Drosophila melanogaster: one gene and its partners. The protein of the gene in region 3 interacts with the protein of the main gene of each other region in a pairwise test. Each region holds a gene or a part of one and is shown on either strand. Other genes may lie near its edges.

What was found.
Region 1: the proteins of nkd (region 3) and CG14641 interact in a two-hybrid assay, tested with the Drosophila melanogaster proteins (one large-scale study listed by BioGRID).
Region 2: the proteins of nkd (region 3) and ImpE1 interact in a two-hybrid assay, tested with the Drosophila melanogaster proteins (one large-scale study listed by BioGRID).
Region 4: the proteins of nkd (region 3) and Gip interact in a two-hybrid assay, tested with the Drosophila melanogaster proteins (one large-scale study listed by BioGRID).

Annotation. Positions count from the first base shown.
Region 1 is NT_033777.3:4,228,243-4,235,931, forward strand, and holds CG14641 (uncharacterized protein), read right to left. Parts: upstream 4,101-7,689; 5' UTR 4,001-4,100; coding exon 2,744-4,000; 3' UTR 2,537-2,743; downstream 1-2,536. Other genes in the region: DhpD (dihydropterin deaminase), read right to left, coding at 1-179, 238-392, 486-746, 803-901; abs (abstrakt), read left to right, coding at 4,887-6,746.
Region 2 is NT_037436.4:8,369,026-8,377,839, forward strand, and holds the start of ImpE1 (Ecdysone-inducible gene E1), read left to right. Parts: upstream 1-3,379; 5' UTR 3,380-3,558; intron 3,559-5,719; exon of another isoform or gene 5,720-5,775; 5' UTR 5,776-5,950; coding exon 5,951-6,046; intron 6,047-8,814.
Region 3 is NT_037436.4:19,041,140-19,049,556, forward strand, and holds the start of nkd (naked cuticle), read right to left. Parts: upstream 4,311-8,417; 5' UTR 3,229-4,310; coding exon 3,165-3,228; intron 1-3,164. UniProt on the Drosophila melanogaster protein: Cell autonomous antagonist of the canonical Wnt signaling pathway. May activate a second Wnt signaling pathway that controls planar cell polarity. Required for neuroblast specification.
Region 4 is NC_004354.4:10,326,823-10,334,133, reverse strand, and holds Gip (GIP-like), read left to right. Parts: upstream 1-4,261; 5' UTR 4,262-4,371; coding exon 4,372-5,166; 3' UTR 5,167-5,257; downstream 5,258-7,311. Other genes in the region: CG15306 (uncharacterized protein), read left to right, coding at 2,675-3,748; CG2909 (uncharacterized protein), read right to left, coding at 5,534-5,722, 6,062-7,068, 7,131-7,275. UniProt on the Drosophila melanogaster protein: Catalyzes the reversible isomerization between hydroxypyruvate and 2-hydroxy-3-oxopropanoate (also termed tartronate semialdehyde).

The DNA of each region.
Region 1 (7,689 bases), on a different chromosome or scaffold from region 3:
TGTGACTCTGGATATGCAGGTCAAATCGCTTTGCTATATCGCCCAGACTCTTTAGCAGCTCCTTGCTGCAGCTAAGGGCAAAGCGGGGCGTAATCGTTGGCATCACCATCGGGCTGCCGAGCTTCCGCACGCCCTCCACGAAAGCCAGGGTTGCACTGACCGACTCTTCCGCAGTCTCCCTGTGCAGAGCAACAACATTGAGTTGACCAGACCAAATCCGTCACGCTCTGTACTTACACGTAAAACTCGGGGCTGTTGCAGTTGGAGCAGACCTTGCCTATCAGTGCCCGCTGGCCTTGACGCACCGCCTCCCGCGCCAAGGTCAGCGTTGACTCCAGATGGTTGGTGGCGAAATAGGACGCCAGAGTGGTTCCGCACCGCAGTGTTGCTTCCTGGGGTGTAATATTATCATTATCAGCTAATAAAAATAGACGGCCGGTGCGACCCATCGATAAGACGTTTGTGTGCTCCCAAGTACTACTTACGACCACACCCTGGTAGACCTGCTGGGCGTATTGGTGGTTGGAAAACTTCGCCTCCAGCGGGAAAGTGTATGTGTTCAACCAGTCCAGAAGAGGCATGTCTAGTCCCAGTCCCAGTTGCGCAAACTGCGGGGCGTGTATGTGGCAGTCGACGAAGCCCGGCATGAGGAACTGGTAGTCCGACAGGTGAACCTCGGTCAGACCCTTGGCGTGGGCCGGATTGCTGCTTGCCCACGCATGGTAGTCTTGTCCCACTCCTATTATCTGTGAGCGAAATTGTTCATTGCTCATTGTTTTGTTCTGGGCATTAAATTGCCTACCTTGCCAGCGTCGTCCACTGCCAGGAATCCTCCTTCAAAGGACTCAAACTCGCTGAACGACTTGGTGTGCACGACAGTTCCAAGAAACACGGTTGCCATTGCTCTGATTTACTATCAGCGGGCTTAAACGTGCTGTACGACAGACTTGAGAATGTAATGATCAAGATCCGCTGAACAAGTTTTAAAACTCTCGCCTAGGTGCACGCGTCGCCCTGCGAATGTGCGCATAATCATACGGGGATGACACTTACTTTTTATTTCAAGGTTTAAATCGCTGGAAAGATTATTCCCAATCGTTTGGTCGTTACTTTAAATATTATTACTTATTACTGTTTTAATAAGCGATCGCTTGCACACGTGTGATTTATCGGTAAAAACTACAAAACAAGCAATAATTAACTTCAAAATAGCTGTTGCAAAACCATTAATTGTAAAATTGTATATTGGAATGAATATTGAAAAAACATAGAATACATTAATCATATGTTTAGCTAAGACAAAACCCCCTTTCTGGAAGTAAAGAAGAGTAAGAGTGACGGGTAAAAGAAATATAGCCATTATATAATTTACAGTTAGTCTAAGATTTCATTAGAATAAACATATTTGCACTGCTCGCACCTGTACATATGTAACCTTTACCTACCCTGTAGTCCCACAATTCATCGCTATTAAAAAATATTACATCATCTCTCTCTTAAAATTTTAAAGCGATGCTAATGTTCTTAATCATAACGAGGAATAAGCGATGATTTTGAAAACAAATTCATCGCTTTTTAATTTCTAACCGAAGGTCTCAGTATGCGATTTTTTATTTAATTGCAAATTTAAATTTAAATTTTAAATTTGTAATGTACATAGAACATGTTTGCAGATCACTTGCCTATAGACTTTTGTGAGAAGTAGACGCGATTTTGAGTGCTTGTTTTAAAAAAAAATTGTAAATATTTTGGAATTTAATTCAATAATAATTACAGGTAATGGATTTATTTTACAATAAGCAACAAACACTACTCACAGAAACGATAATTTAAGGTAAATTGGTTTAACTCGTTTTTGTATACATAATTATACATTATTTTACCTTAAGGTAAATCGGACATGTGAACTGAAAAGAAGCTGGTCCTAACTCCGTAGGACAGGACGCCAAAGACTCTGGAATTTCACATACATATATATGTATTTGTATTCTTAAATTTAAATCCTATGCATAATTTAAATAAGTCTAATTAAGAAAATACATTTTTATTAATAAATGACTGAAATTTCACTTTTTCATTAAAATTGATAGAGGATTAAGTGAATAAAAAGAGGTGTAGAGAGATGAATTGAGCTATCATTTATAGCGCTTATGCGTGATTTTGATTTTGCGCTATGCGATGATTTCCTAGAACATAGGTTCAGGTCATGGTTTTTTTTTTTAATACAAATTAACCTGTGATTAATTTGATCGAGATTTTTAATGATCAGTAATGAGCTGATGAAATCTGAATGAATGGAATGCAGGGAGGTAGTCATAATCCCAATGTTAAGTTCCCCTATAAATACTGAAGAATGAACTTACATATGTACATGTGCATTGGTGTACTTTTTTTAATCCCAAATATCGTCCAAATCAAAGAAAAGCATTTATTAAAGGTAAAAACGAGTGACGAACGCACATCAACATACATATGTACAAAAGTTTTGATATAAGCTTTTGTGACGAAAATTTGTTCTTTTTTTCTTTTTTTTTTTAGAGTTTAAATCATTTATTATTATCTTCTCCTCTCTAATTGTTTGGTGTTTTTTCTTAACAATTCGAATCGAAAACAATTTCGTCCATACGGATAAATTCTATTAATATTAAGTCATTTTTATGGAACTGACCACTTTAAAAAGTTTGTATTTAATTTTATAAAAATGATTTATTGAATTGGAACCATTGTAGACCACAGGGTTTTCCTACTTTTTAACAGCTCCCATCCGACTGGCGTCCTGACTTGGATACGGTACTTGACCCGGTGGCGGAGGAATCGATATGGAATCCAAATTGACACCCGAGGAAGAAAGGGCTGTGGAAGTGGCGTTTCCGTAGGGAGCTGCATAAGTAGGCTGACCATACATTTGGTAAGCCGACGCCGGAACTAGATTTGATGGCAACTGATGCAGCTTCATGCCGGCGGGCATGACATTGATTTGCTCTTGGCGAAGATTGAAGTAGTCGTTGGGCTTCGCGCTAGGCGGTGGAATGCCGGCCAAGTCGAAGCGTCTGTCTGTCTTTGCAGCGGTGCCCTGCTTTGCCTGAGAGTGAGCCCACTTAATGCTCACCTTCCGGCCCTGGATCACCAGTTTATTAAAGGTCCGCTCAGCAGCCAGCTCGGCAGCGTTTCTTTTGGTGTATTGCACAAAAGCGCACTGCTGGCGTGGCACCAGCGCAATTGATCGAATTTCGCCGAACTGGTAGAACTGATCTCGCAGCTCGGGTTCCGTGATTTCTTCAGGAAGGTTCCCCACATAGAGAGTTGTGATGTTGCGGTCCTCCGGCGGCTCGAGTGTGGGAAGCGAGGCTGCACGCTTCATGATCTTCTCGGCCACAGGATCGTTGCGTCCGTAGTACCTGTCCTTGATGTTTTGCTCACATAGCGGATCGTCCGGCTCGTTGGGCTTGTCGTGGCGGTATGGGCACTCCTCTCCACGCTTGCACTCGCCCTTAACCCAAAAGGAGCAGATGTGCGGCCGATTTCTTTTGTAATAGGGTGCTGTGCGCGCAAGCTTGGACAACATCTCGTTGGCGGCGAGGGATCGACCGACAGCTCCTGCCGCCTCCGTGCCATCTCCGTCCTGCAGCTGGGCGTCTATGTTTTGGATGTAGTATTCCTTGTTAACGTCGCTTTGTGGCATATTGTCAGCCACTTTGAGCGCCGCATCTCGTACTTGAATCGGCAGTCCGTACTCCAGGTCCAAGAGGCAGGTCTGACACACGTTCTTCAGGCGCGCACACGTTTGACATATCTCCGTCTTTTTGAAGCGCATACGAGCACCAGGACACCATCGAAATATTGTGAATGGACGCGTGCATATCTTGCATTCCTTGCCGAACCGCTCTTTAATCATCCGCACGTACGGATTGTCGCCAAGGCAAGTTTGGCACAGAATTGGGAATTCAGCATCTTCCCAGTTCTGCCGGTTATAGGTGTTAGTCGTTTTTGACATAGACATAGCAGCGGCACTTATGTACCTTGCACTTAAAATCCGAGCTAAATTTAGACAATGCTCATTCGCTTTCTACTTGTCGAAAATGGTGGTGTGTCGCGAGTGATATACCAATATCGATAAGTTGAGCCAGAAGCAGACAGTTAGTTCAAAGTCAGCAATCGATATAATTTATTGAATTTAATAGCATATTCACACTGCTTAGAATATATATCTATACCCAAATGCACACAAAAATATATTGCATTCGACTGATCCGAAACCGATCAATACGATATTCTACTATTCTGTACTATTCATGTTCGCTAACCGTTTAACAGAAATGTTCCTGAAACACTTTTGATAGCACGCATAAGTTCATATAAAATGTTTCTGGGCGATTTACACAGAGTTTTTGGCACTTTTAATTCCGATGTTCGCAGTTACGTATTCACTGCGCTCTGACCACTTATGTTATTCAATTAATTATCATTATTTACGAACAGCACTTTTGGCCCTGCTTTAAATATATTTACTAAGTATTTTTACCTGCCTGTTATATTTCACCAACAGTATGGCAACCTTCGCGCTAAAAGTTGCATTTTTCACGTTGCTTGGTTTTCACAAAAAAAGAAAGACTCAATCTCAAACTCAGAAAACCAGAGCACCTAAAAACGAAATCGAAAGATTTTGCCCAAATTGAAAAAAAAACTATTATCCGGTCTGCATGCCATGAATATATCATAAGCAAGAAGCTGTCAGTGGAATCACTGTTTAATAACTGTAATCGATACCCATTAGAATATAGTATTTTTCGGGCTCGCCTAATTTAAAACGTCGTACGGTGGCCTTTGTTGTAGTCAAATTAGGCGAAAACGAAACAAACAAAAATCAGAAATATAGATCGAATGCTATGGCGCACGTAAAGCGGTATCGGAGGTCGTCTAAGTCCTCGGAGGAAGGCGACCTGGACAACGAGGACTACGTGCCATACGTACCGGTGAAGGAGCGGAAGAAGCAGCACATGATAAAGCTGGGCAGGATCGTGCAACTGGTTTCGGAAACGGCCCAGCCCAAGTCGTCAAGCGAGAATGAGAATGAAGACGACTCGCAGGGTGCGCACGATGTCGAGACCTGGGGACGCAAGTACAACATTAGTCTGCTGGACCAGCACACAGAACTGAAGAAAATTGCCGAGGCCAAAAAGTTGAGTGCCGTCGAAAAGCAGCTGCGAGAGGAGGAAAAGATTATGGAGAGCATTGCTCAGCAGAAGGCCCTTATGGGTGTGGCAGAGTTGGCGAAGGGGATTCAGTACGAGCAGCCTATTAAAACAGCTTGGAAACCGCCGCGTTACATTCGGGAAATGTCGGAGGAAGAGCGCGAGGCCGTTCGCCACGAGTTGAGGATCCTAGTGGAGGGAGAAACCCCCAGCCCGCCAATTCGCAGCTTCCGGGAAATGAAGTTCCCTAAAGGTATACTTAACGGCTTAGCGGCCAAAGGCATTAAGAACCCGACCCCAATCCAAGTGCAAGGCCTGCCCACTGTACTAGCCGGCCGCGACCTAATTGGAATAGCCTTCACTGGGTCTGGAAAAACGCTTGTCTTCGTGCTGCCAGTCATCATGTTTGCCCTGGAACAGGAGTATAGTCTGCCTTTTGAGCGTAACGAGGGCCCCTACGGCCTGATCATTTGCCCGTCCCGCGAACTGGCCAAGCAAACACACGAGATAATTCAACACTACAGCAAGCACCTCCAGGCATGCGGAATGCCTGAGATTCGTTCCTGCCTGGCCATGGGTGGTTTGCCGGTCAGCGAGGCCCTTGACGTCATCTCACGCGGCGTACATATTGTGGTGGCGACCCCTGGTCGTCTAATGGATATGCTGGACAAGAAGATCCTTACGCTGGACATGTGCCGGTACTTGTGCATGGACGAGGCTGACCGCATGATTGACATGGGATTTGAAGAGGACGTTCGTACGATATTCTCTTTCTTCAAAGGCCAGCGACAGACACTTTTATTCTCTGCCACCATGCCAAAAAAGATCCAGAACTTTGCTCGATCAGCTCTCGTGAAGCCTGTCACAATAAATGTGGGTCGCGCAGGTGCTGCGTCAATGAACGTCACCCAACAGGTTGAGTACGTTAAGCAAGAGGCAAAGGTGGTATATTTGCTGGACTGCCTACAGAAGACCGCGCCGCCCGTGCTCATTTTTGCTGAGAAGAAGCAGGATGTAGACTGCATACATGAGTATCTGCTGTTGAAAGGCGTGGAGGCGGTGGCTATTCACGGCGGAAAGGATCAGGAAGAACGATCGCGGGCAGTCGATGCTTACCGCGTGGGCAAAAAAGATGTGCTGGTGGCCACCGACGTGGCATCGAAGGGCCTGGACTTCCCTAACGTGCAACACGTTATTAACTACGACATGCCGGACGATATTGAAAACTATGTGCATCGTATTGGCCGCACAGGTCGTTCCAACACTAAGGGATTGGCTACGACGCTGATAAACAAGACTACCGAGCAGTCGGTTCTGCTCGACCTGAAGCACCTGCTAATCGAGGGCAAGCAAGAGGTCCCGGACTTCTTGGACGAACTGGCACCTGAGACCGAACACCAGCACCTGGACCTGGGTGACTCGCATGGCTGCACCTACTGTGGTGGTCTGGGCCATCGCATCACGGAGTGCCCAAAACTTGAGGCTGTTCAGAACAAGCAAGCTTCAAACATAGGACGTCGCGACTACCTATCTAACACCGCTGCGGATTACTAAACCACTACCACCACCAAATTAAAATAGTAATAAATAGATTAGTATACATACATACTTTTCTGGGAACTTTTAAATTTATTTTCACTCTGTTTTAAGTTCAGTTTGCTGCTTATCGCACGAAGCTTTGCTTATCAATCGTCCCAGCAACCCCAGAGAGCGATCTCGGCCGGACGCGCGCGCGTTTCGGGCTTAAGAAAAATATTATAAAAGCGAAGACGAGCTTTGGCTTTCGTTTAGTGTCTGAGGCAGAGCTCTGCATGCTTGTCGTTCGAAGCGCTTTTATTCAATCATCGCACTGGGATCGTGAGAAATTGCGCAGATCGTATTGACTTACAAGTAAGTGTGCCCCAAAAATTAAATGATGTTTTATCAGCAATATGTAATAACATCGCCCAGAATAGTAGGTTACTCTAGTATAAAGTAAAATTCAGACTAGCCTAAATGATTTCAATTGAAGGCTGATTATATAGACATTAACAACTTTCAAAGCTATTATTTTGCTGAGTTCATTTCGTTAAATTGGTCGTTGATTTGTCTTATCTACTGCTTTGAAAACAATCATCGGAACTGAGGTCGGTTTTATATTAGATAAGCCACTAGCTTTTTACCAAGCTGTGTGTTCTTGAAAAAATAAATTCATAACACTGTATAATATGATCAAATTAAATTGATGGTACCTACAAAATTTGGTTAATTTATCTCCGTTAAATTATCCCCAACTTCATTGGCATTTGGATTGGATTTGAATAATTGGATACACATTTGAATGTTTAAATGTTACCCATGCGCGCGGTTTGTCCAAGAATCCGTTTGTATGATTTTGGCACTGGAAAATGGGTAACTGCCTTTATCCAACCAATTCAAGCTGGTCCAACTTATGGCCGGCTTCGGAATATTATTCCGAACATGCTGTGGCCCATCACTTTCATTTCAAATAGGTATC
Region 2 (8,814 bases), about 11 Mb from region 3:
GGGACGCTGTCCGGGCAGCTGCGTGCGATTCTGCGAAAGCCGAAAAATTATAATAACCAGTTTGGGCTGCTATTTCTTTATTTTTTACTTTGTGTGTGTGTTTTTTTTTTTTGGTTTGCCAAAACCTTCGTTCAATGACCCTGGGCAGGAATAGGGTCCCAAGATGGGCAGAGAACCATGCAAGGGCAATAACTCTCCGTTTTTTTATTTTTTTTTATTTCTTGCAAATTCTGCGGCGAAAGTTGATCGGGCGAAAAGAGATGGAGAGCGATTCCCGTGCCGAAATCCCGAAAAAAGGCAGAAAAGAAATGCACATTTAGATTATACGAGATATTGGCCAGAAGTGGGTACGAAAGGTATGCATACCTTTCCTTTGGCACATGGCCCCAAAACTGCAATAAACTAGTGGCCCAAAACGAACAAACAAACAGCAGCAGAATAATGCTTTATTCCCCCTCTCTTCAATTTTGTATTTAAAAAAAAAAAAACATTTTTTTTTTTTGGTTGTGTGTATGCCTTCTGTTGGACAAAAATTCCGAAAAGCAAATCCATTTTGTTCCGACTTTCATTTTGGAGCAGCGGCAAGCGCTGCACACAGTTTGAAGACAATTGTATAAATGAAAGTTTAAGATCTCCGGCGGCAACTGAACATTGCGGGCATTTTGGGCACCTGTGTGTGCATGTGTGTTTGTAGGGCAGTGTACATGCGATGGGCCGGGGGGGCGGTGGGCGTGGCGGCAGCGACAGGTACACCGGCACTCAAGATCGATAGCAGTCCAATAAAAAAAAAGGAGTATAAAAAAATAAAAATCCAAAAAGACCCGGCACGTGTTCCCCCAAGAGCAAAGCAAAAGCACTTTTCAATTGTTCACCACTTGTCGATGATCGTGGCGATGATAATGATGCCAACACCGATATTGCTGCTGCAGTTGCTGCTGCTGCTGCTGCTGCTGCGGCTGCTGTTGCTGCTGCTACTTCCACTGATGATGATGAACATTTCTCCAGTGCAGTGTCTTCAACTTTGCTACGATTTCGATTTACTTTTGCTTTTCATTGTTCCTAATGCGATGATGATGGCCACTGGCTGCCGGCTGTTTGTCGAGACATTAATAACAATTTCATGGTTTTCAACACAAAATGCACACCCATCGGAAACTTTTCCGATTTTCAATAGTTTCTATTGAATTTACACAACAATTTTGCAGTGTTTTTTGGGTTTGCTAAGAGGATTACCAAATGGTATCAGTTAAAAGCGTTACGGTTTCTTCTTGGAACCGATACTTTTAATTTGAATGGTTTTAAATAAAAGTTTGATATTTTTGAAATAAAAAATACATTTCTACTTAATGAATGCTAATAATAATGTATGGTTTTATATGATTTATATATATGTTATATTAACTAACCTATATAAATCTAATGAACTATTTATTTAAATTTCTCATCCCTACATCCAAGATATGCCGAAATCTTAAAAACTTTCTTTAGTGCAGCCCAATTTCTTTGTATAAGTTTTAAGAAGCAAATTTTAAGGGTTCAATCCTCTCGCATTTCCTCGATCTTGATCGATTGATTCCATTGACTTCGATTCCATTGCCCCCGGCCGAAAGTGAGAAATCAGAATTAAGCAAGTAACCGTGGACAATCAGCGTCAATTATGGCTATGTTCCTTAACTATATACATATATGTTCATATATGGCCATTATATGCGATTTCGATTCGGGACAATCAACTCTTTTTTCGCTGAGGAGGGTGCTCCGCTTCCGGTGCTTGAAATAAATCTTCAAATTAAGATGCTGTCTTCCAGAAAATGCTCGAAAATCGAAGCAACTTTTTGTAGTTTTCGCCGAGAATGAGCGAAACAAAGCGGGCAGATATAAAATTGAATGTGAAATCAAAAACGATCAAAAGCGCTTTGAAGTGACCACTTGGCACAATATGCGATGTCTACACCCGACTTGAGTTCAGTCGGTTCTTGGTGAATGCGTGGGTGGGTTAAAAAGTTCTATATTATCAGTATTTTATCAGTTTAAAATTGTCTTTTTATCATTAATTTTATTATTTATGCGACAGAACTAATTTTTGCAGCAAAACTTGAATTTAGTACGGGCAAATCGAACAAAAACTTCCAGTGCCACCCTCTTGATAATCTGAAAATCTGACAGCGAAAAACAGTTTGTTTAAAATGAACTCAAATGCGAAAATTACACCCCAAGCGACCAATTTAAAACCATTAAATTATAATTTTAAATTTTAAAGAGCTCGAACGACTTGAAGGGAGGGCAGCCGTGGCATTATTCAATTAGGGAAGACGCATTTGTATAGTTTTTGGACTCCCAGCCAAATGGAGTGCGTTGGATCCGACCACGATCATCCCCATCCCCATCCCCATTCTCCACCTCCACTTTTCACTCGGAAGATTATTCTTAACGTTTCGCAAGTCGATTTCAGTTGCTTCACTTGCCTCATTGCGATTGCAACACGGGTTCAACTTCAAGTGACGGAAGTGGGAAAACGAAAATCAACTACAGTTGAGCCTCTCTACCGTGTACTTTCCTCAAACGTAATATTCAATCATATCGAACATTTTAAAACTGGTGCCTTACTAAGATTGAACAGGAAATCTTATAGAATCTTAAAGATTTATTGTACTAATTTTTTTGATAAAAGCTTTTAAGATTCTTCAATTTAAACATAAATATAATAAGCATTTTTCAGTAGTATGCTGCAACATGTTTATATAATGTTAATTTTTTATTAGCCCTCAAAATTGGCTATTTAAATGTATATGTATATATAGGCCTATTAGGCCCATTCGATCTATAGATGTGGCACTGTAAGATAAAGCGGTTAATTTCGAAATGAATGCAGTTGCCGGGCAGCAAAAAGTGGCGATTTCGGCGTGTAGGTGTACAAACGCTTCGCCGTTTATCTCTATTAATCTGTGCGTTCGCACTCGCTCGCACCTGACACTCATAATTAAAGAAACAAATAAAGCAGCGCACTGGCTGCTGTTGCGCCTGCGCAGCGGTCACATTTGCATAGCAGCAGCAGCAACATCACTCGCAACAGCGGCAACACAGCAGCAGCAGCAACACAGCAGCAGCAGCAGCAGCAGCACAACAGCAGCAACAGCAACCATGTGAATCCAAGAGTTCGGCACTTGTCGTGTCTTCAAAAGCTTTGCTGCCTTGACTTTGACTTTGGCCAAAAGCTCGCTTTTCAGCCAAGAGTTCGCCGCGTGTTGCTGTTGTTGCTGCTGTTGTTGCTGCTGCTGTTGCTGTTGCTGGTGCTGCTGCTGCGGATGTTGCTGCCGCTGCGCGACTGCGAGCGCGCGGCTGCTTGTCTTGGTTCTTTAAGTCCGTGGCTGGCTGGCTCCTCTTCAGTTCGTTGCTGACCATCGTTACGTGCGGACGTGCCCAGCTCAGCTCATCTTCGTGTGATGTGGCTGCACTTTGCACACTAAACTTAAGATCTGAGCCCAAAACGTTTTCCAAGCTGCAAAAATATAACAAAAGTGCCGCGACGCGTGTGACAAACGAAAATCGAGTAAAACGGTAGCTAAAACAATGATTCTATGAATATGAAATAAGAGAGCGCACAAAAATATGGAAGGAAATAATAATACTGATAATAATAATAATAATGATCGAGGGATATTTTTTGGAATTGGACTAAGGCGCGGCCATCGGGCCAACTGAGTGTAATTTCAGTCAGTTTCTTGCGCACAGACACACTCGCCAGGAAAACAAACAAACAAACCAACTAAGCAACCAACCAACCAACCAACCGACCAACCAACAAACAAACAAACAGCGAGCGTCCAGATAGACAAACATACATGGGAAGGCAGTCAAGTGAAGACAGTGCAGAGTTCTCCTGTCCAGTTTGCTGCAGATGCGGTTGGAGATGCAGTGGCAGTGGCATCAGCAACAGCACCAGCACCAGAACACACAGCGCACAGAACCCAGCCGAACCAAAACCAAACCGAACCGAACAGATGCAGATGCACCCAAAGCCAGTCCAGCATCAGCTCGGATCTGGCTTTAACTTTGGCTTGGGCTCCAACTTCAGCTCCAGCTCCATCTCCAGCTCCACTGGCACATGTGCTGGCGGTGGAGTCGCCATATTGGGTGCATAACGGTGCTAGAATCGCGCTGCTTTTTGCTTTTGCTGCCTTGTGTCTGAGTGTCTGAGTGTCTCTCGGCCAGCTTCTTAGCCAGGCTGTTGCATTTGGCTCTCGGTGCACCGCATCCCAACCCATCTTATGCCATCGCATCGCATCGCATCGCATTGATGACGACCCAGCGACCGATAGACCAAGCGCAAAAACCGCAAACTAAAAATGCTGATCCCCTTTGCCAGCGACCCGCTCTTTTGCGGTCGCCAGCCCAACACTTTGCACATGCTGATCGATTGCGGAAGATCTCCGCCATCTCCAGTTCCATTTGCATCGTCCATCTGCATCTCTGTATATGTATCAGCTACTCCAAGGCTGACTGGGTCACCAAATTGAGTCGGCCAGTTGTCCAGACACTCCCACCAACTGGCCCCTTTGACCAAATGCCAAATATTAGTAATAATATTCTCGTCAGGTTTTTGCTTGGTTAACCAATTATTCTTTATTCTGAAGTAGAAAAGTATATGGTCATAACTATTGGTTAAATATGTCGAACTTCCCTTTTTTCTTCCAAAAAAGTTTCAAAAGACTTAACGTAGCCTAATGCCTCATTTTATCCTTATCTGTGCATTTAAAATTAAATCAAGGGACACCCATTTTCTTTCTTCTAAATTCTATACAAATTTCAATTAAATATTCAGCTTCCAAAGATAGCACATACGTTTTTCTCTGTGCAGCGACTAGTTCTCAGGCCATCTCACCTTAGACCAATTTAAATCGAACTCTTAGGCCCTGCCTCATTGTCAGCTCCGTTTTCCCTTCCTTTTTTCCCATTTTTTTTATTAAGTTATAAAACTGCTGGAGTTAGTAGATGTTTTATATCGGCACAGAGCTCAGTTTTTTTTTTTTTTTGTGATGTTCTTCTCAGCCGCCTAACGGTAATGCCCTAGAGCGCCACATTCTCAGACCCAGTCTTCCAGTCTCGAACTCTTCGGCCCAGACTCATGCATTGCAATAAAATGAAATTTTATAACAGCGTCAGCGGCAGCAGCACCGAACAGATACAACGACGGCAACAAAAACGTTACCCAAATTCCAAAAAAAAATATATAAAAAACCTGAACGAGAGAGAGGGAGACAGGCAAAGGTCGTCACAGCAAGTGAAAATAGCAAAGCCAAGAAACAAAACCAAAAAACAAAAAAAAAAACTAAAGACGGCGGTCGAGATAAATAAACGAAATAAGTTTTAGGGCCTAGTGGCCCAAACAAGAGCTAGGTGGTTCAGGTGTTAATTTCCCATTTTCGGGTTTTCTTCGGCTGCCGCGCAAGTTCGCTGCCTAAGTCTTTCGTTTTAAAGTGGAGCGACACCGCGCGCACCGCTCGAATGCCCATTGAATGCGAATGAGGGGCGTGTGAGCCGCAAGCCGGCCGGTTCAACTGCAAAATAATAAAACAGAAATTATTATTATTATTATTTCCCTCATTTTTGTGTGTTGCTTGTTAGTGGGGCGCATTTCCTTTACCCGAAAAGAAAAAAAAAATGAAAGAAATGAAATAAAGGAGAAGAAACCTTTTCGTTCCGTTTTTGACCCTCAAAGTTCAGAGTTTAAGTCAAGCCTCCCCTCACCACCACCACACTGACTCCTTTCCACAGCGAAAAACATATATTTACGACTGCAACGAGAGGAATACCAGCTACAGGAAAATAACCCAAGAAAAGCGGCTGAAAAATCGAAAAAACCAAAAGAAAACACACAAAAGGAGGGAAAAGCGAGAAAAGCCTTCCCAGGGAGATCCAAAGCAGCTTCTTTGGAGATTCAGAAGCGGCAATGACGGCGACTGCGAGGCAGTCGGCAACATCGAGAAAGCAACCTGCGATCGCAATGCTCAATGGAAACGCTTTTACGGTTAAGCGGCTCTTAGCGGTAAGTCAACTCATCTAAGGCCAAAAAAGGCAAAAACAAAAAAAAAAAAAAAAAGAACTAACGACAAAAAATCAAACTGCACTCCCCCACATAAAAATCATCATTTGGGGCGTTGCCAATTCAAATTGCTCCACAAAAAGCAGCCAAAGCAAATGTTTGTCACCTGGTCAGTTCCGAGCACCATTGTTAAGCACTTTTTCGCTTTCTTAAACAAAAGATTCATTTTTTTGGCACAATTTTCGACTCTTTCATCGCGTGGGCTCACTTCAATCGTGGGCCGCTGCTCTGCAAGATAGTTTTTCTCCTTCTCGTGTGTAAAGAGCTGTGAAGTCGGCCATTGGGTCAAATTGTTGCTGATAGATGGCTAGGCAGGCGTCGAAGATCATGATGATGTCGGTTGTGTTCGGTTGGGGGTCGCCACTTCACCGACTGAGTAATGTGGGCAAATTAATCTAATAAAAGGTGGGAGTCTTCGTTGCCTCTGCTCCACTGGACCGAACTTCATTCCAAGAGAAAACAAAAAAAAAAAAAACTCAAAGCTCGAGAGTGGGCATTAAGTTTAGTGAATTATTTGCTTCATAAAATTTCATTGCCCGGCACTTAATCATTATTACTGCGGGAAGAGTCATTATGGGTGTACTATGGGAACTAGTTTGTCTATTAATAAACGATTCTATTGAATTTGCTGGCTATTTTGGGATTCCAAGAAAAGTGCAGACTTAATGCAAAGTTAGTTAACTTCAAGTAAGTTATTGTTAATGATTTTCGCGGTTAACAATCTCATCAATTTAAATGTTCTTCTAAATATCGTACGTTTCTTTGTGCCAATTTATTTATCAGGACTGGCATTTGCATATAAAAAATGTGAAATTCAATTTGCAATCAATTTTTTTTTTTGTAATTGAATAAGAGTTTCCCATGCGATGCACAATCTATTCATGGTGCTAAATCAATGGAATCTGTTTGTTAGAAAGCAATCGGCCAAGGGCTTCTCAACTCCAGTACTTGAGAGAAAATTTCCTTCCAGCAGTTATTTTTTTTTTTTTTTCACTCCAGCCAAGACTAACAAACAATTTATCCGTTTCGATGTTGTTTGTTATTATGGTCCGCTGCTGCCCTCGGCCGGCCCATTCAACCCATTTCGAGCCAAGTGCATTAAGTCTTGGCCAGAAGAGCCAGTGAAGCCAGTAGATGGCCAGAAGGCCCAGTAGTTGGCCAGCAAGGCAGCAAGAGCCGCTGCATCTGGGCGCTCCACCTGCATTCGGACCGGCCAAAGGTCACCAGACGGTCTGGCGCCCGACGATCATTAAAAGAGTACGAAAGTAATTTGTAAAACACGAAAACTTATCTACTTCTTTTTTTTTTCGCTGCTGCTGAGCCGAGCTTTTCTTGCTGTTCTTTTACGATTCTAAATTACAATGACTGCAGAAACCGAAAAAAAAAATATGCCACTGCAACGGGTCTTCATTAGCACAGACTGGTCGTAAACCCAAAATAAAAAAAAAACATTTTCACAAAAAAATAGGCAGCAAAATAAATAAGCCAAGTCAGTTCGCCGCAGGTGATAAATGGGGTTTTGGCAGCTTGGGTCTTAAAGACCGGACCTTTTGGCCAGGAAGACGAATGGCCTGGCGAAGGATTACAAATGGTGAGGTGGACATGGGTTGACGGTTATTAGCAATCCGCCTGCAGATCTTTGTTTACGCGCTTTTCATTTTGGCAAGATGACAATGCTGTGGCCAATAACGAAAGTAACCCCCGAGTTATTGGGTCAAAACGAAACAACAAACTCGGACACAATGGTCAACACATTCTCTTTATTCTATTTAGTGCCAGTGCCAGTGCCTCGTGCTCGAAAGCCTCTCGAAAGCGTAATTAAACAATTTCTTCTCTGTTTATTGACATTTTATTGATGCCGCCGAGCTTGAGCGGTTTCATTTCTGGTTGTTCTGCGGTTGTTTGCGATACCAATTCCAATTCCAATTCCTATTCGGATACAGATACTTTTCCCCCATTCGGTGTCTTGTTTGTATTGTTGCTCCCATTGAGCGATACTCCTCGGATTTTCAATGGATCTTGTGGAGTGCCTGCGAGTGTTGTTTTGAATAGAGGAGCACCGAATGAGTGGCGAAATGATCTCGAGACTCGAGGAAAACACCTCTCAATGGGGATTATGTGGTGTAGTTTATTTATTTATTGTTATTGAAAGAAACCAAGGAGTAGTGCTAATGGTTTAGTATTCAATAAACCCAATTTGATGATCATAACAGTGAAATAAATGTTTTTGGCGAAAGCTATTGAAAGGAGTGATCGAATCAATCTTGTAGAAAATAAAAAAATACTTTGAGATCTAAAAAACATTTGATATAGAAACGAAAGGATTTTAACAATTTACTAATATCAGTACTATAAAATCAACATATCCATTTGTGCATACAACTTGTAGTAATTTCACAGTTTTCTTAGCAACAATTTCGCATAACCATTTATCACAATTAGGAATAGCTAACAAAGTTGCATTTCGCCAAACGATCCTAACTGTGATTTTAATGTCTCAACTTGTACGAAATGCCAAGGAGTTGCGTGTCTGTGGCATTGGAATCCAAAACGAAGAGTTCTTACCAATTAAACGAAGCTGGGGAATTTCCAACTCGCGAAAGCGAGCCTAACTTTATGTAATCATTGGATTTAATGTGTTAACAAATTTAAGCAGAATTTCAGAAAATGGTAACCAAAGGTGGGGGAGTTCGTGGTACCGTTTGGGCAGT
Region 3 (8,417 bases):
TGCGGTGGACCAAAACCCAAAACAAGGCGAAATACCCATCGGATCTGGACGATCCGACCCGACCGATCCAAACGCAACCGAACCGGCCATATAGGGTCGCTGGCATATCGAAAGGCAGAGCGGCAACTTCCTGGCTAATATTACGAAAATTGCTTATACCAGGCTATTGCTCCCTGGCCATCCCCATACCCATACCCATACCCATAACCATGCCCCAACCCATAGCCATAGCCAGTTCCATTCCCCTCCGATTCTCGAGTTCTGCGGATCAGCCAAAAAGTGCCAAGTCAAAGTTGGTAGTGGCAGCTAGAGCTGGTGCCCGCTTCCCGGACCTCGGGGCTGCGATTTGAGCCCGGTGCGGTTCGAGCCACGTTGCTTTCAGCCTGTCATGAAGGCAATGCCGACGCGATTCGCCTGTTGCCTTCTACCGTAATTCACAACAACCACAGCCATAATAATAACAGCAACAGCACGGTATCGAAGAAAAGCCAAGGCGAGCGTTGTAAAACCCGCAGAAGAAACAGTGGTCACAAGTGCATTACCAAATATACAATTAAGTATGGTAAGCACAAATAAATGTTATATGCATGATCAAAAGACATAAATATAAGTATACTTAAATGAAAACCTTTTTAGTTACAATAAGTATAATAATTAAGGATGCCACATATGATCTACAAAATATGCGGATCCCACCTGTAAGTATGGCTTAAATGCATCTATACAACGTGTCTATTAAATCCTATTTAATCTGCTTAAAATCTTTCGAACATCAATAGCCTCTCAGGTTTGGGTTTCATATCATCCCCGCCCGTCAGTGCCCACGATAATCCCCATTCAAACACACGATTTTTAACCACTGTGCACGACGGCCTCTGGTGCCGCGCCTCAAAGCAAAAAGCGCATCTTTTGAACAGAGCGCAAAGCGCAGCTTGGCAGTCGCAGCATCGGCGCGGTGTGTATCTCAAAGATACAAGCAGAGTACGCTCGCTGGATCGCTGGATCGCCGTTCCTCGGCCCGTCCGTCTGTGCGTCCGTTTGTCTGAAAGTCGGTCCGTCCATCTGTCCGTCTGTCGATCGTCGGTTGGTCTCTAAACCGCTTTTGTGTAGCCGCTGCTGAGATGTTTGGCATAGTTGGCCTGGCCGCGGAACTGGTTGGATGTGGATGTGGATGTGGATGTATCTTCGAGATGGAGTTGGGGAGTTTCTCAGTTTTGGTCGGAGTTGGGGCTGCAGATGGATGGAGTGGCTCAGTTATTATTATTTTTGCTTGCGGCGGCGGCTCGACGACTTGCTGCCGCTGATGTCCGATGTTATTGTTGTTGTTTTATCAACGTGAGGGTTTTAAAAGGTTTTTGTGTATGAGTCGGCATCGGTATCTTGGCCTCGCAGCAGCTGCTGCTTTCTACACAGGAAATAATTATTTGGCCTTTTATAATTTTAACATTCAACAACAAATATATCGTGGCAAATCTAATTATTCATGTGATATTTTACTATCTGCGTAATCACTTTTAACATTTTGGATTTATGTTAATATAATATTTTACTAAATTTCACTATTCTTTTATAATTTTGCCCATTATTAATGTAATGTCTTAGGATTAAAGTGTCACAAAACAATGGAATTTTTTCCCAGTGCATCCATAAGCAACGGGCCAACTCCACCTCCATCGCGGCATCGACTTGCCTTCGGTTTTACCTGCAACAGGTAAGAAATGTTCGTACGTTGTTTTTAAACGGCGTCGGCATTTCAATTCGCTTGATTTTCATTTTTTGTACGACTCTCTTCCCGTTTGTTGTTGTGTAGTGTTTTCGAGGCTGCTTTCTTTGAAGTTGCATGCTTCGGTGTGCCTTTGGAGGTTTCCTTTGAATTCCCCCTGCATCTGCCAGCAATTAGTGTACGGGGCTTGTCGTCCTGCAAAGGGTTCAAAGTGTTGGCCTGGCATTTAATTGGCGCAGACCAATTGCCAGCCGATGCCGATGAGGAGGAAATCTCTCTCTGGGGCTTCAAAGCGAAACAAAACAAACCAATGAAAAAAAAGACTCCAGAAAAGTAAAGAGGTGGATGGGGGCCCCAGAATATTTCCAATGAATTTGTGGACAGAAAAAAGGAACCCAGGGAACATTGATTGATTGATGTTACTTCAGCGATTCGGACATCAACGTTGCTCGTTTGGCAGAAAGGTCGTCCGATTCGGTCGTCCATTTCCAATTCGGATCGGATCCCACTTTGGAAACACGGACCTTGTTTATTTACGTCCATGATATGCTACCCATGACTAAGGAGCCGATCTCTAAGCAGCAGCAGGAGCCAAAGCGAAACGTTCTATTGATCGCGATCGCGATCCCTATCCCTATCCCGATCCCTTCGCCTCTTCGATCTGCTTCCAAAAAAAATTCTATTTATTTTCCATGGGTCGCTTTCCTTTTGATCTGCCCTGCCGTTGTGTTTTTCTTCTTCAGCACCATGCCCGATTTTCCGTTCTATTTTTGTGTGTCGCTGCTCCGGCATTCTCCTACCCATTTTCATTTCCATTTCCAAAGACCACAAGCGAACGAACGGCTGTGTATCTTCCAGATAAAAATGCAGCCGGGCGATTGCCTACATTTTATTTTCAACTTTTAGTTGTTCGCCGTAATTATTGGAAAAGGATGTGGGAGAAGCCCTTGACTCAATGAATTCGAATACACACATACACACAAATACATACATATCTGTGTGCGGGTGAGTGAACAATTGTTTGGGAGAAGGTAATATTTTAGATCTTCGGCCCAGATAGTCGTATGTTAATGGGAATGGCCTTCGATAAGAGGCCACGGAAAAATGAATAAGGAAAACATTCTGCATGGGTTAGTGGTTTTAGTGTCAGGTAGGTGGATATAGGAATGGATCATTATTTCAATAGTAAATGCAATTATAAATCAATAATTATATATTCCTAAGCGACTTTCTTCATATTTATAAGATATCTTCCTGCGAATCCCTGACTCACTCAATATTTCAATTTAATTTACTTGACTGTGGCCAACAAATTGTTTCCCTGAATGCTATCGCCCAGCTGTCTCTCCCCACGAGAGCATTAACATCCATCTTTTCCATATCTGCTGCCAACTATCTGGAAATTCACTAAACAAGTTGAGAACGCTTGGCTTTCGCTTACCTGAGAATTGTTTGTAGCCGCCGAGAATTTTATGCTTCCACCATTTGACAATGTTACCCGCCATCGCTGCCCGGATATATGTACCTATATAGTTCTATATATAAGCGGGTTGAGGATGCAGTTACTTGGCGGTGTCTTGGATTTTTCGGTGTTTCTATTTTCCGTTTTTCGGGCGGCGGTGGTGGTGGTTGGGCTGGAAATTTACGAGTCCTGAGAGGAGGAGACCTGCAGTATAGCAGCAGCCCAAAATGTTTTACGGCCCTTGTGTGTGCGTTCTGCGCTCCCTGGCTGGCTATCCTTTTGTGTAAGGATCTAAGGACTGAGACTAATATACTCCAGGTAGGAGGCGAGAGAATCCTCCGCTTCCACTTCCACAGCCACTTCCCGTTCCACCGTGTTTATGCGCTGCCGCTGGGCGACCTTAATTTGTATCTGGTATTATTTTCGACTGTGCGGGTGGCAAGTTACCAGTCGTAGTCGCTGTCGTAAAAGTTTTTACAGCTCTGATGTGCTGCATTTTAGTTTAATTTGCGCATATTGCGCTGCTTTATTTGATCTACGTGTGTGTATCTTGCAGATACTCGTACTCGCGCTCGCACTCGTGTATATTGGTACCTTTGTGCCCGCTGCGCGCGTAATTTTAATTGTAAAACATTTTCGCCGACTCGATTTGTTTTTCGCCAGCCGTTTTGTTGTTATTTATTCAATTTTTTCTTTTTGCTTTGCGACGACGTAAATAACTTGGCGTATAAACAACAAAAAACAACAAATGCAAAAACACGATTTATTTCCAAACGATTGCGACGAGGGCGACGGCGACGTCAATTTTTCGGGGGGTGGCGTACCGGTTGTTTTTGTTATTGTTGTGGGGGCGGTTTTTCGTTTTTCGTTTTTCCTTTTTGCTTTTCACACTTGATTTTTCTCTCCGGCTAGAAAATTAAAACTTCACTGGGCGTATCTCGCGGATACATTTATTCATTTGATCAATTTCCAATTTCAACGATAACTTCACTGGGCCACAACAATCCGTTCGGTCAGTAGTTGTTTTGGTGGGCCAAACTACGCGTATCTTCTAGATCCTTTCCGCTGTATCTCCGAGTCTCAGTTCACACGTCTTTTCGAATCAACGGACGAAAACAATCTGAATGCGAGTCGTTCGAGAATCGAAACATTGCCCGTTGTTCGAAACTCATCTTCGAGCGCCGCTCTTTCTCTTTCGAACACGTTCTCTCAATTTCGAACTCGAAATTTGTAAAGGCGTGTTATCTCTTTTTCTATTCGAAAAGGGTATGATGGAACTCTGGTTCATGACAAGCAACATATATGAAATGATATAAACAAATATTTTTCTTTCTTCTTTATCTTCTAAAAAACGATTCAAATTTTACCAGTAAAAAATTAATAAAATTTATTTATTTTTATTTACATTTTTTTTTAACCACTGCAAATACCATATGTTTTGTTTCAAATTTATACATTCACATTTATGGAGTATTTTCCTTTTAATAGCTACTAAGCTAAACTATACTAAAAATTCGAGTGATATATTTTCAGTGATTTTTCCATTTATAACAGAACGTTCTTAAATATTGCATACAAAGAAGCAATTATTAGAGCAACATATTTGATTGCAGCGAATGCCACGCCTCAAATTTAGAGCTTTCTTTTGGCTTACACCTTTCAAGCTGAATTTTGACTGGTAGTTACTGCCTCCACCATCGGTTTTTGATTATACACGTGTTTGGATAATACCCGGTTTTAATTTGCCTCTATGCATAGCCGCAGCAGAAAAAAATTTGATTGTTTTTAAATTTGATCTCAACCGCTGCCCCTGCCCCAATTTTCGCCACGCAGAAGAAGCCGCCTGCTGAGCTTGAACATCAGGGCAATTACCAACCAACCAACCACCAACCAAAAAGTAACCCCAAACCCAAGCTCAAACCCGCCGATAATAACAGAGCAAGGAGAATCCTGAATTACGCCGCAGAGGCAAAAAAAAAAATATGAAGAAACACAAAGCTCTTTCTTTCTCCGGCGATCGAAAGCAAGTGGAAGGAACCCGCGGTGATCGGCTTGCCTTTAACCCACTGAGGCCCAATGTGGCAACCTGAAAAATATTAGTGTATTTATGGAGGTAAAATATAATATTTTTGCATACTTCACATTTACTTAAATACGTTAAATAATATAGTAATAACTAATATCGTGTTAAATTTCTAGAGAGCTAGTAACTGAAACATCAACTGTGTACCTAGTCGATTATAAGATATTATGAAATTTCAAGAAGAGATTAAACTAACAAAACCTCCTTATATCTTGATGTTCCATTAGGCATTATATGTTCCTAATTATATTTGAACGTTTAGGAGGACCAATATTCTTATGTAGAACTTCTAAATATGTACCGCTCTCAAGGGGTTAACTTTGCCCTCGGGGTCCGCAGGCTTTCGCACCGTAAAACGTTTTCGGCTTTCGGTATAATGGCGCTGTAATTGAAGAAGAACACGCGATCGAACGGAGGGTGAGGGGATCGAGAAGGGGCTCCGCAAAGGCGGCGGAGGGAACCTCCTTCTAACAGAATGGTTTCGGTCTGGGTCTTGTCTCTCTCTTTGTCGGACCCTCCTTTGTGGTGCCTTCGTCATACATTGATCCATCGTCTTAATTTCAGGAGGAGACGCGCCGCGCGTCTCCTGCGCTCCCTACATTTCGGATGCGGGCCCCTGATTGATGTCGGGAATCTGTCCGCCCTGTAGCCGATGATATTGATTTATGTTTACTCCGGTTTCGCATCCGAACCCCAACCCCAGCACTTTGTTCTGCCGAATTTCGCACAACATTTTGCCGCTTTGTATTTGACAAAAGTCGGCGGACAGGACAGACGGGCTGCAAATGTAATTACCCAAAAACGAGTGGAACATGTCTGGCGGCCCAGCAATCCGGTGGGCGCGGTTCCTGTTCATATGTGACTGACCCACCCGACCGACCATATAAAGGGTTCCCTGACATTTGTCCCTACGATGACGATGACGATGACGATGACGGAGTGACGGCCATGGCAACTGTCGCTGTAATTGACAAGGAGGCAGTATTCGATTCGCTCTGCGTCACTCCCCAGTGCCCCCGCCTTTTTGCCCAGTTTTCCCCCGCTTTCCACAGGCAAATCCCTATCTTCACACACATGGGCAATGCTGATGAGTTTTTGAAGGGTTAGGCGAGTTTAATCGGGTCCTATGTGGCGTGTGTGTTTGCATTAGGGAGTTGATTAGGTTACGGGGGTCATTTTGGCTACAGGAGATAAACATAATTGCCTTGTCTCGAACGTATTTCCGCAAAATATGATGCAGTTCCAGGGCACACATTAATGGGGCAATTTGATGAAGTATATTTATTTAATTCAATTGTAATTTAAATATTTTCGAAGCGAAAAGGATCAATCTTTTAAATAAATCGAATAAATAAATCGAACCAATAATCATTAAAGATTAACAATTTAAGCACCTATTAATTATCCCCACTGCTTTTGTTTAACTTCTAGGAACAAAGCAAATATCTCATTGCTAAGAATGGTTTTCAGCAATTGATGATTATTTTTTTTTTCACATGCCAACAACAAGACGCTCTAAATTTTCCAAATATTTTCAGTAAATAATGGGCAGCACATAAATTAGATAAGCAGATATATTTTTCAACTTGCGTCACAATCGAAGCTGCGCTGGATCTCATTAAAAAATATATATTTTCACGATCGGCTCGACGAAAAGAATCCAAATTTATTTTTTTAGTTTTTTGGAAGTCGTAAACGAATGAAATTGAAATAAATATCATATGCATGGGGTCGTGTACATTGTGAAACTATTCAATAAATTAACTTTGTTGTAAGTGCTGGCCATAAATATTTATATTTTATAGTATTTGTACGCTTGTCGTAAAATTCAAATGAAGTTGTCCCCCAATGATGGTCGACGAGTGGGCCGCGTTTATAAACATATTTCCAAAGCAATTATGAATTGTAGTTTTTGGCATTCGTCGGCTGACTGACAGGAAATTATATTGTGTTATAGGCCATAAAACTGGCAGGTCCGGAGAACCAAATGAGCCCCCAATGAGAGATCTTCAGTCCCATTGGTAGGTAGCATGTGCAACAGGCCTTTTGCTTTTGAAGTCCCCACCCCACCTCTCTGCGCTCAAATGACTTTTTACCCAGAAGTCGTTAAAAAACGACGAAAATTTCCAATTAATTTTGATAAACGCGGCCCGCAATGAAAAATATAAGATGCATATTGGTTTGGGGCTGGGGGAAAGTTTGTTTGCTGCCCCAAAGCGGAAATTGTAACTGTGCATTGATTGGGATGGGGGCCGGGATGGGGAAGAGGTGGGGCTGGGTAGTGCAACCAATTGTTGCTTATTAGGCCGAAAACATTAAAAATCTATCAAAACAACAACAACAGCGATGAGACAACAAATTGTTGTCTACGGAATGAAGCCATTTCAATCAGCCGTTTTATGAGTGTTTTTAGGCGCTTTTTGCCCGCCTGCCTCAACTGGATTTTTACGATTTTACATTTACAAGAGTCCGCCGTCCATCGCTGTCCATCAAACGATTAGGCCCGGCATGGATGTATCTATGTATAATATATAGGGAGTGGATCTGTTGTATCTATGGGTCTACGATTTCCGTGGGACTTAATGACCAGATTAATGATGCCAAAAACATGATGGGGAGCGATAGATTAAATGGGAGCTATAAAAGCGATTTAAGTGTGGGGTGGCGGTTGGTAGTGGGTTGTGTTCGGTGTGCTTTTAGGAATTTTTTCCAAGGAAAGAAACATCTCTGAAGCATCTTTTGGATATCTAGAAGATCTGAAGATAATATTTTCTTTAATTTTACTTCCAAGAAACTCATATAAAATATTTCAATTTGCAGCTCTGGCACTTGAATCACTTTTCAAAAGCATTTTCATTTGATTTTCGTTGTAAATCGCGCCTATTAAATTCCATTATACTGATTAAAGGCGAAATAATCATATGCCTATAATCATATTTCTGGTCTATACATTTGTTTAAAAATTTCTTCTAAGATCCTATAGGTAATATATAGCGATATTTCACTACTGTGTATTACTTCATACAACTTATTACTTGGAAACCATGGGAGAAATAATACCACCTGCGATACCAATTGATTAGATCACGCCCCCTCAAACTTAAATGAACCTTTCAAAAACATTTAACGAAATAAATAATCAAATTGCA
Region 4 (7,311 bases), on a different chromosome or scaffold from region 3:
CATACAAAGACCACAACTTTTTGAACAGTGTTCCTTTTGTGGGTGGAAAGCCACGGACGGCTGGAAAAACTATGGACGCGCGAAATGAAACGTGTGGGCATGGTAGGGATGGTATTGGATGGATGGATGGGTTTTCCGGCGACTCGGCTTGAGTTCCACTGAGGCTGGTGCGAGGATGTTGAAGGCGCGCGTCCTTCGGCTTATGTGCAGCGCACTTTGTCACTCTTATTTCTGTGTAAAGCTGCCAAAACAAGGATGCGGCACCACAAAAAAAAAAAAAAAAAACCCAAAACAGGACAGAAAAGAAAAAAAATTCGTACAGGATCGCGGTCGTTCGTTTCCGGAGTAAATGTAAAATTTAACTTCGAAGTAAACACTTTACGTTGTTTCGTCCTTTTTGGTAGCCGCTTGTCCTTTTTGTTTTTTTTTTTTTTTAGCCGCTCTATCCTGCCACTCGCGTCGGCAGTCCGCCTGCCTTTGTAACGCGCTCGGCGTTGGAATCGCGCTTTTATAGACCGCCGGCCAGCCGGAGATTTTCCCACAAATTTCCCATAATTTTCTCACGCTTTTCCGACAATTTCCCAAAAAAAGAGAAAATGGCCAACGGTAACGTTGGGCATTGCAATGAATTGACGAGAGGGCAAAGTTGCGGCGCCGCTCTCTTCGCTTTTGCCAGCTGGAAATTTCAAAAGGAATTTCGTTATTTATTGTGCAAGACGAAAGACAAACAAAAGTCAATGCTTTTGTTCAGGTCGCCGACAATACAGGCAGAGATTCTTTAATTAATTCGGATTGTCCGCTCACGAATTTCAAATGACTTTGACCCAATTTAATTTGTAATTTGTATGATATGTGCAAATACGAAATGAAAACGAAGAAATCAACAACAGGTTATTCAAAAAACTGCGAATAAGAAGTGCCCAAAGATATGCTGGGAATTTGTGAAGCATACTTTTGAACACCTCTTTAAATATGTATCTTATGTTTTTAACTAACATTTTATTGTTTGAACAACATAATCACTTAACTTACTAATTTATGCAACTTGGTGATTAAAATGCATAGCATACACTTGATTTATGGCATTTTTGTGAAACACATTTTCCTTTTTAATTGTTAGCATTCCATTAACTTAAGTCATCTATCTGCAAATGTGCCAGCCTTGTAGTGCTTGTAGTGCCAATTTCTATGCTGAATGCAATCAATTTTAAATATAAAGACCAAATGCAGAAACAACAGCATCTGGCTAATCAATGAGGTCACACAGGTTGCACATCGCACATCGCACATTGCACATTGCACATTGCACTTTCCACTCGTTGCGAAAATTTTACAAATTTAATTGCCTTTGTCGATGGAACGCAGCCGTATGGGAAATGCATTTGGGACGACGAGTGCCGCATTTCCGGGAACAAAAATAGAAATAGAAATAGAAATATAAATATAGATAGAGATAGAAACGAAAATGGGTTGTCAAGCTAAAACAATAGGATATTTGTGCAATTTATTTGCACTATTATTATTTCGCACAAAACAGTGCCACACGATGGCAGTGACATGTCTGTTTTGGATTGCATGTACATATGTATTGTATTGTATATATACTCCAAAAAGTCCAGTATTTAAATTGCCCACATGGGGTCATCCGAATCCGTTTGGTTAGACAAACCAATTCAATTTCCCTAATCCTTGTTCAGCTTTTTGGCAAATATGTACATATGTGCATATCGAATTGTTATTAGATTGCCAGTTAGTTTTGAATGTTAGTTTCTTTCTTAAATTGTAGCCAATAATAGCCAATAATTCGACGGGTTTACTACTAGTTTTAGTTAATATTCTTGATTTATTTTAATGTAGTTAATAAATGGTAAATGAACATAGAAAAACATAGAAGGCGCGTATAGAACGATGTTGAAGGACGTCGAAAGTACTGAAAGAACGTAGAAGAATGTAGAAATTATGTAGAGAAACGTAGAGCAACTTAAACGGATGTATAAAATGTGTAGGACTTTGGTGAATCTCAATGAATGTGAAATTTAGTCAAAGACCTAGACGCTTCACTTGAATATATATATAAATGCTAATTAGTATATAAATGTGTATATATAAATGTAACCATTTCGTAATATCTTGACCGTTTAGACGGAAGGACAAAAGGACAATACGACGGTTACGAACAAACATGGCTAGACAGTAAAATCTGATGGGCAGGCCATGAAAAAGTGCCGAAAAATTTTCAAATCATGTAGGCCATGAAATGAATTTTCATTTGTGTCATAACTTTAGACTGGACAAAACCTTAGTCCAATGTGAGCATTTGATATGTGAACATAACACACAAATAATATATACCCCGATTGTTAAACAATTTGTACATACAATTTCGTAAAAACAAAGCAACAGAACTACACATTTCCAATATACATTTTCAAAATATTTTGGTAAAACGAAAAGGTCAACTTTGTATTCACTTTGGCTTACGCGCGCTGCATGATATTTTACATTTTTCCAAAATTTTCCAAAAGCAACTTTCTTGCGAAAAAACTAATCGAACAAGGCAAACCATACGTGCTCCTGTACAACTTTCTTTGGGTAAGTGATTGTTGAATGACCAAGTAAGACATCGCTAATGTATTTTTAAGTAGCTTGTAGACACATAGAGAATTCGCTTGCGATGGCTACTTCGAGGGCCCACAATGTGACCGTCACGCATAATTCGTTGGTTCAGTGGTCCCGTGGCGATATTCTCGATTGGTTCAACGAGACGCTCCAATGCAACCTAATCAATATCGAACAGTTGTGCACCGGTGCAGCCTATTGTAATTTGATGCATATGCTTTATCCCAAACTGATCAATTTGAAGCGAGTTAAGTTTTTTTCGAATCAAGAATACGAGTACGTTAACAATTTCAAGGAACTTCAAAAAGCCTTCAATAAGGTAAATGTAAGCCTACCAGCTGAGGTCAATGATTTGATCAAGGGCCACAGGGTAGAAAATTTTAAATTTGCCGTGTGGTTCCGACACTTTTTCAATGTCAATCACACTAAGGATAAATGCGCTGGCTACGATGCACTGGTAGCTCGTGACCATCAGAACATCGGTATCGGATCCTCAAAATTGACAACCAAAGATCGTTTTCGCTTGGTGAAGGTGAAGACGACAGCTATACGAGGTAAAGTTGCGACTTGCCAGGCGACGATTAACAGTAGCCTTTGCACGGGCAAAGCTAACCAGGACGAGGATAGCCAGCACACGGATAAAAAGGACGAGGATAGCCGTGACCAGGGTAGCCAGTACGAGGATAGCCCCGGCATGGATAGCCAGTACAAGGATTGCCGTGACCAGGATAGCCAGTACGAGGATAGCCACGGCAAGGATAGCCAGTACAAGGATTGCCGTGACCAGGGTAGCCAGTACGAGGATAGCCACGGCATGGATAGCCAGTACGAGGATAGCCGTGACCAGGATAGCCAGTACGAGGATAGCCCCGGCATGGATAGCCAGTACAAGGATAGCCGTGACCAGGATAGCCAGTACGAGGATAGCCACGGCAAGGATAGCCAGTACAAGGATTGCCGTGACCAGGGTAGCCAGTACGAGGATAGCCACGGCATGGATAGCCAGTACAAGGATAGCCGTGACCAGGGTTGCCAGTACGAGGATAGCCACGGCAAGGATAGCGAAGACGAGGATAGCCAGTACGAGGATAGCCAGGACATTCACATGGTGCTCCAAAGAGACCACTGATATCGTGACGTCGTCGGTTTTTAATTCCTGGCCAAGCTCATTGTCAACTCAAAACTCTCAAAAGAACTAGTCAAAGCACACGGTAGCCTCGAAGGAGTAAGGATGTGAAGACGAAGGCTGCCTGCTTTTCAAAATTAACAGTTTTGAACTCTTTAAACCAAATTCACATTTTCTCCACTGCTTTTGTATTTCATGGTTTGGAAATTGAAAATTAAAATGTTGACCCAAAACATGCGTCTTATTTAATGGTTCCCTTAATGTCCGCTAGGTGGAGTCAATGCTTTTCACACAGGTTTTATATTAAATAATAATACTAAATAATAATAATAATATTAAAAATATTAACGCTACGAGTGTTAGAACTAGTATTTTATTTAACTAACGACGAACTAAATTAAATAATATACTAATTCTAAATAATGGTTCTGATGCCAGCTAAATAACTTAAAACCTACGTATGTATGTACATATATCACGCAAAGCTTTGGTCGGAAAAGCTCCTGCTCCATATGACATTGGCAGTATCAAAAGTCGGTAGATATAATATAAAAAACGGGTAATCGCATCGTTCCCCCCCAGTTGTTTGCCAAGCGTGAACGCAGGCGGAGATTAGTGAACGGAAGATGGCACTCAAGTTTGCAGCGAATCTGAACTTTTTGTTCACGGAAAGAGCGACGTCGATCGCGGAGCGAATTCGTCTGGCCCACCAGAACGGATTCCGTGCGGTAGAGATCCCCTATCCCGAAGGCGAGACGAGCGACGTGGTGTCCGCCGTAAAGGAGACGGGTGTGGTGGTCAGTCTGGTGAATCTGGCCTTCGACAAGAGCGACGATCAGCTGCGTTTCGGCTCCACCAGTGTGCCCGGCTCGGAAAAGCTGTTCCGTAGCCAATTGGATGCCACCATTGATTTCGCCCGACAGGTTAACTGTGGCAAGATTCATCTAACCGCTGGACTCTTCAAGGGCGGCCAGGAGAGTGACTACACGAAGACGTATACCGCCAATCTAAAGATCGCCGCCGATAGCCTTAGAGCCAGTAAAATGATCGGCGTGATAGAGCCAATTAACAAGTACGCCGTGCCTGGCTACTACATGAATTCATACTCCAAAGCCGCTGGAATTCTGGCCGATGTGGCTGCGGACAACATTCAATTGCTGGCCGATCTGTATCACCTGCAGCATTTGCACGGCAACGTTTCCAAGACGCTCGAGGAGTACAAGGCGCTGATTGGACACTTTCAGATCGCCCAGGTGCCGCATCGCCACGAGCCGGATGTTTCCGGTGAGCTGGACTACGGATTTGTGTTCAAGGCTCTCCAGGAATTCGGCTATGATGGATGGATCGGTTGCGAGTACAAGCCGAAGACGACCACTGTCGAGGGTTTGGGTTGGGTCTCCAAATTGGGCTACACGCTATAATTATCACATCACATATAGTTTGGCATAAGGAACTGCTCTGCATTTATACACATGTATTTACACTGCTTACAAACATAAAGATGGTTTAACCAAAATACTTAATTCTATTACATATTTCTCTCGTTTTCGAGGCATTTTCATGGCTTTTTAAAGCTTCAATTGGTTGGTTCAATTCAATCAATTGGTTGGTTTTGGTTTAAAATGGTCGTTTTATAAAATCGATTACAATATAAAATCCTTTTTTTTCCCTTTTTTTTTGGAATTGTCATGCGTCTGTCAAAAGGTCATGGAATTGACCTACAGCAAGTGTGGAATAAAACAGTAGCTACGATTAGATAAGATTAGATAACAGGCAGATTCACGTATCTCATAAGGCGTCACTCTCGCTCCGAATCACCCGCTTGGCATATTCGGCTATGTGGAGCACCCCGTGCTCCGGTGAGGCGATGTGCAGGTTGCCTCCATTGCAGAATTTCGTGTTTATGTACGGATTGTGCAGCTCGGCCACCAACGTGGAGCAGGCCGTCGAGGAGTCACCTGTGGACTGCAGCATTTTCTAAAACGAATGAAGTTTATAATATGTGAAATTAGAAAGAAGAAAATGTTAAGATCAAAGGAAGAACTACAACTACTTTAATGTCAAGTTACTTTCCATTGGTTTAATGATCACTAAATTGAATTATCTTTATAATTGCACTTAACACAATTATAAACACTTACTAAGCTGATAATGCATGCCCTCATTAAATTGATAATGTTCTTATTATTTAATATAAAGGGCATTAGTGGAAAACTAGAACACACAGTTGGCCAAACCACAGAATATAAATATATTGTTTCACCACTTAATATCAACATTTGTGGCTAGGAGGGCACTGTCAATCTATGTACTTACCATCCAGAATTCATTACCCGGCAGGGCGTTTCCATCCCAAGCGTAAGAGACTACCAGCAGCATTCCGGCGTGCTCAGGATCACTCAATTTTCGTGCTGGATTGCGCTTGGAAATGAGCACCCTGATGCCATCCTTTGGATGCCCGGGAATCTCTATCAGCGATCCGTTGCTTAGACCGCCGCAATGTGTGATCGAAAACCAGGAGAAGTGCACGAGGCCAACGTTATTGAGCCTGTTGCCCAGCGTGCGCATACGCTGCTCGAAGGTCTCCATGAAGATGCGCTCCTGCTGTTCTGCTGCCTTCCACACGCCCAAGCCGAAGCCCACCACATGGATGTACGCCAGCTTTTTCACGCGTTTTGCCCTTGCCTCTGCCTCCAGCAGCAGCATGTCGAAGCTGATGGCGTAACGCCGCTTCATCACCAGATTGTCGAACACGTCCATCTTGTTTTTCGATGGTCCGAAACGCTGATTGTCAATGACTGCCTGGCCGTGGATGAGATCCCGTGTGGCATAGAACTCGCGCCACAGTCGTCGATAGTCCTCATCACGCGTGGTAGCCGGCTCATCCAATGCCATTCCGTAGCCCCTTTCACGCGTATTCTGCTGACGTGCGATTACAATGTCCTGGAACTCCATTAGATTACGTCGCGACAGACGGGCTCCAATCATGCCCACAATAACCCCGTGACGTTCCAAAGTTTTCGTGTTCAGATCAACGTGACCGCAATTGGTTCGTTCGCCCTCATTGACAAACTCCGTGCGGGAGCTCACGGAAAGCAGAGCGGAGAGCTTGATATCGTCATAGCTGAGCACGTTGGCCAGCACCAGAGGCGCCTTCTCCTCCCGAGTACCCACGGCTTCGAAGCCACTGGCCCCGGACTCTCCGCTCACCAGCAGGTACTTGTCGTTCCGCGCAAAGAAGCTGGCGCAACGCTTTACCAGCAGACGTTGCACAAATCCGCATAGCGATAAATTCCGGTAGATGGGCTTTTCCACCGCGTTGCCTGTGGTGAAATGCGGCAAGTCGATCAGTTGAGAAGGCTATTTAGGCAAGAGAATTGCTTACCCCAACGACACTTGTGCTCCAAGTACTGCAAGTAGAGGCCCAATGTACGTTCGTGTATCAATGGATAGGCGGATGCCACTTCCTCATTTATCCGGGCAAGCCGCGATGGAGATTGCCGGTATACTTTGACACTGTTCACGCCGAACTACAAGAAGAAGAAAGTGGAAGGGTAAGTCGACGT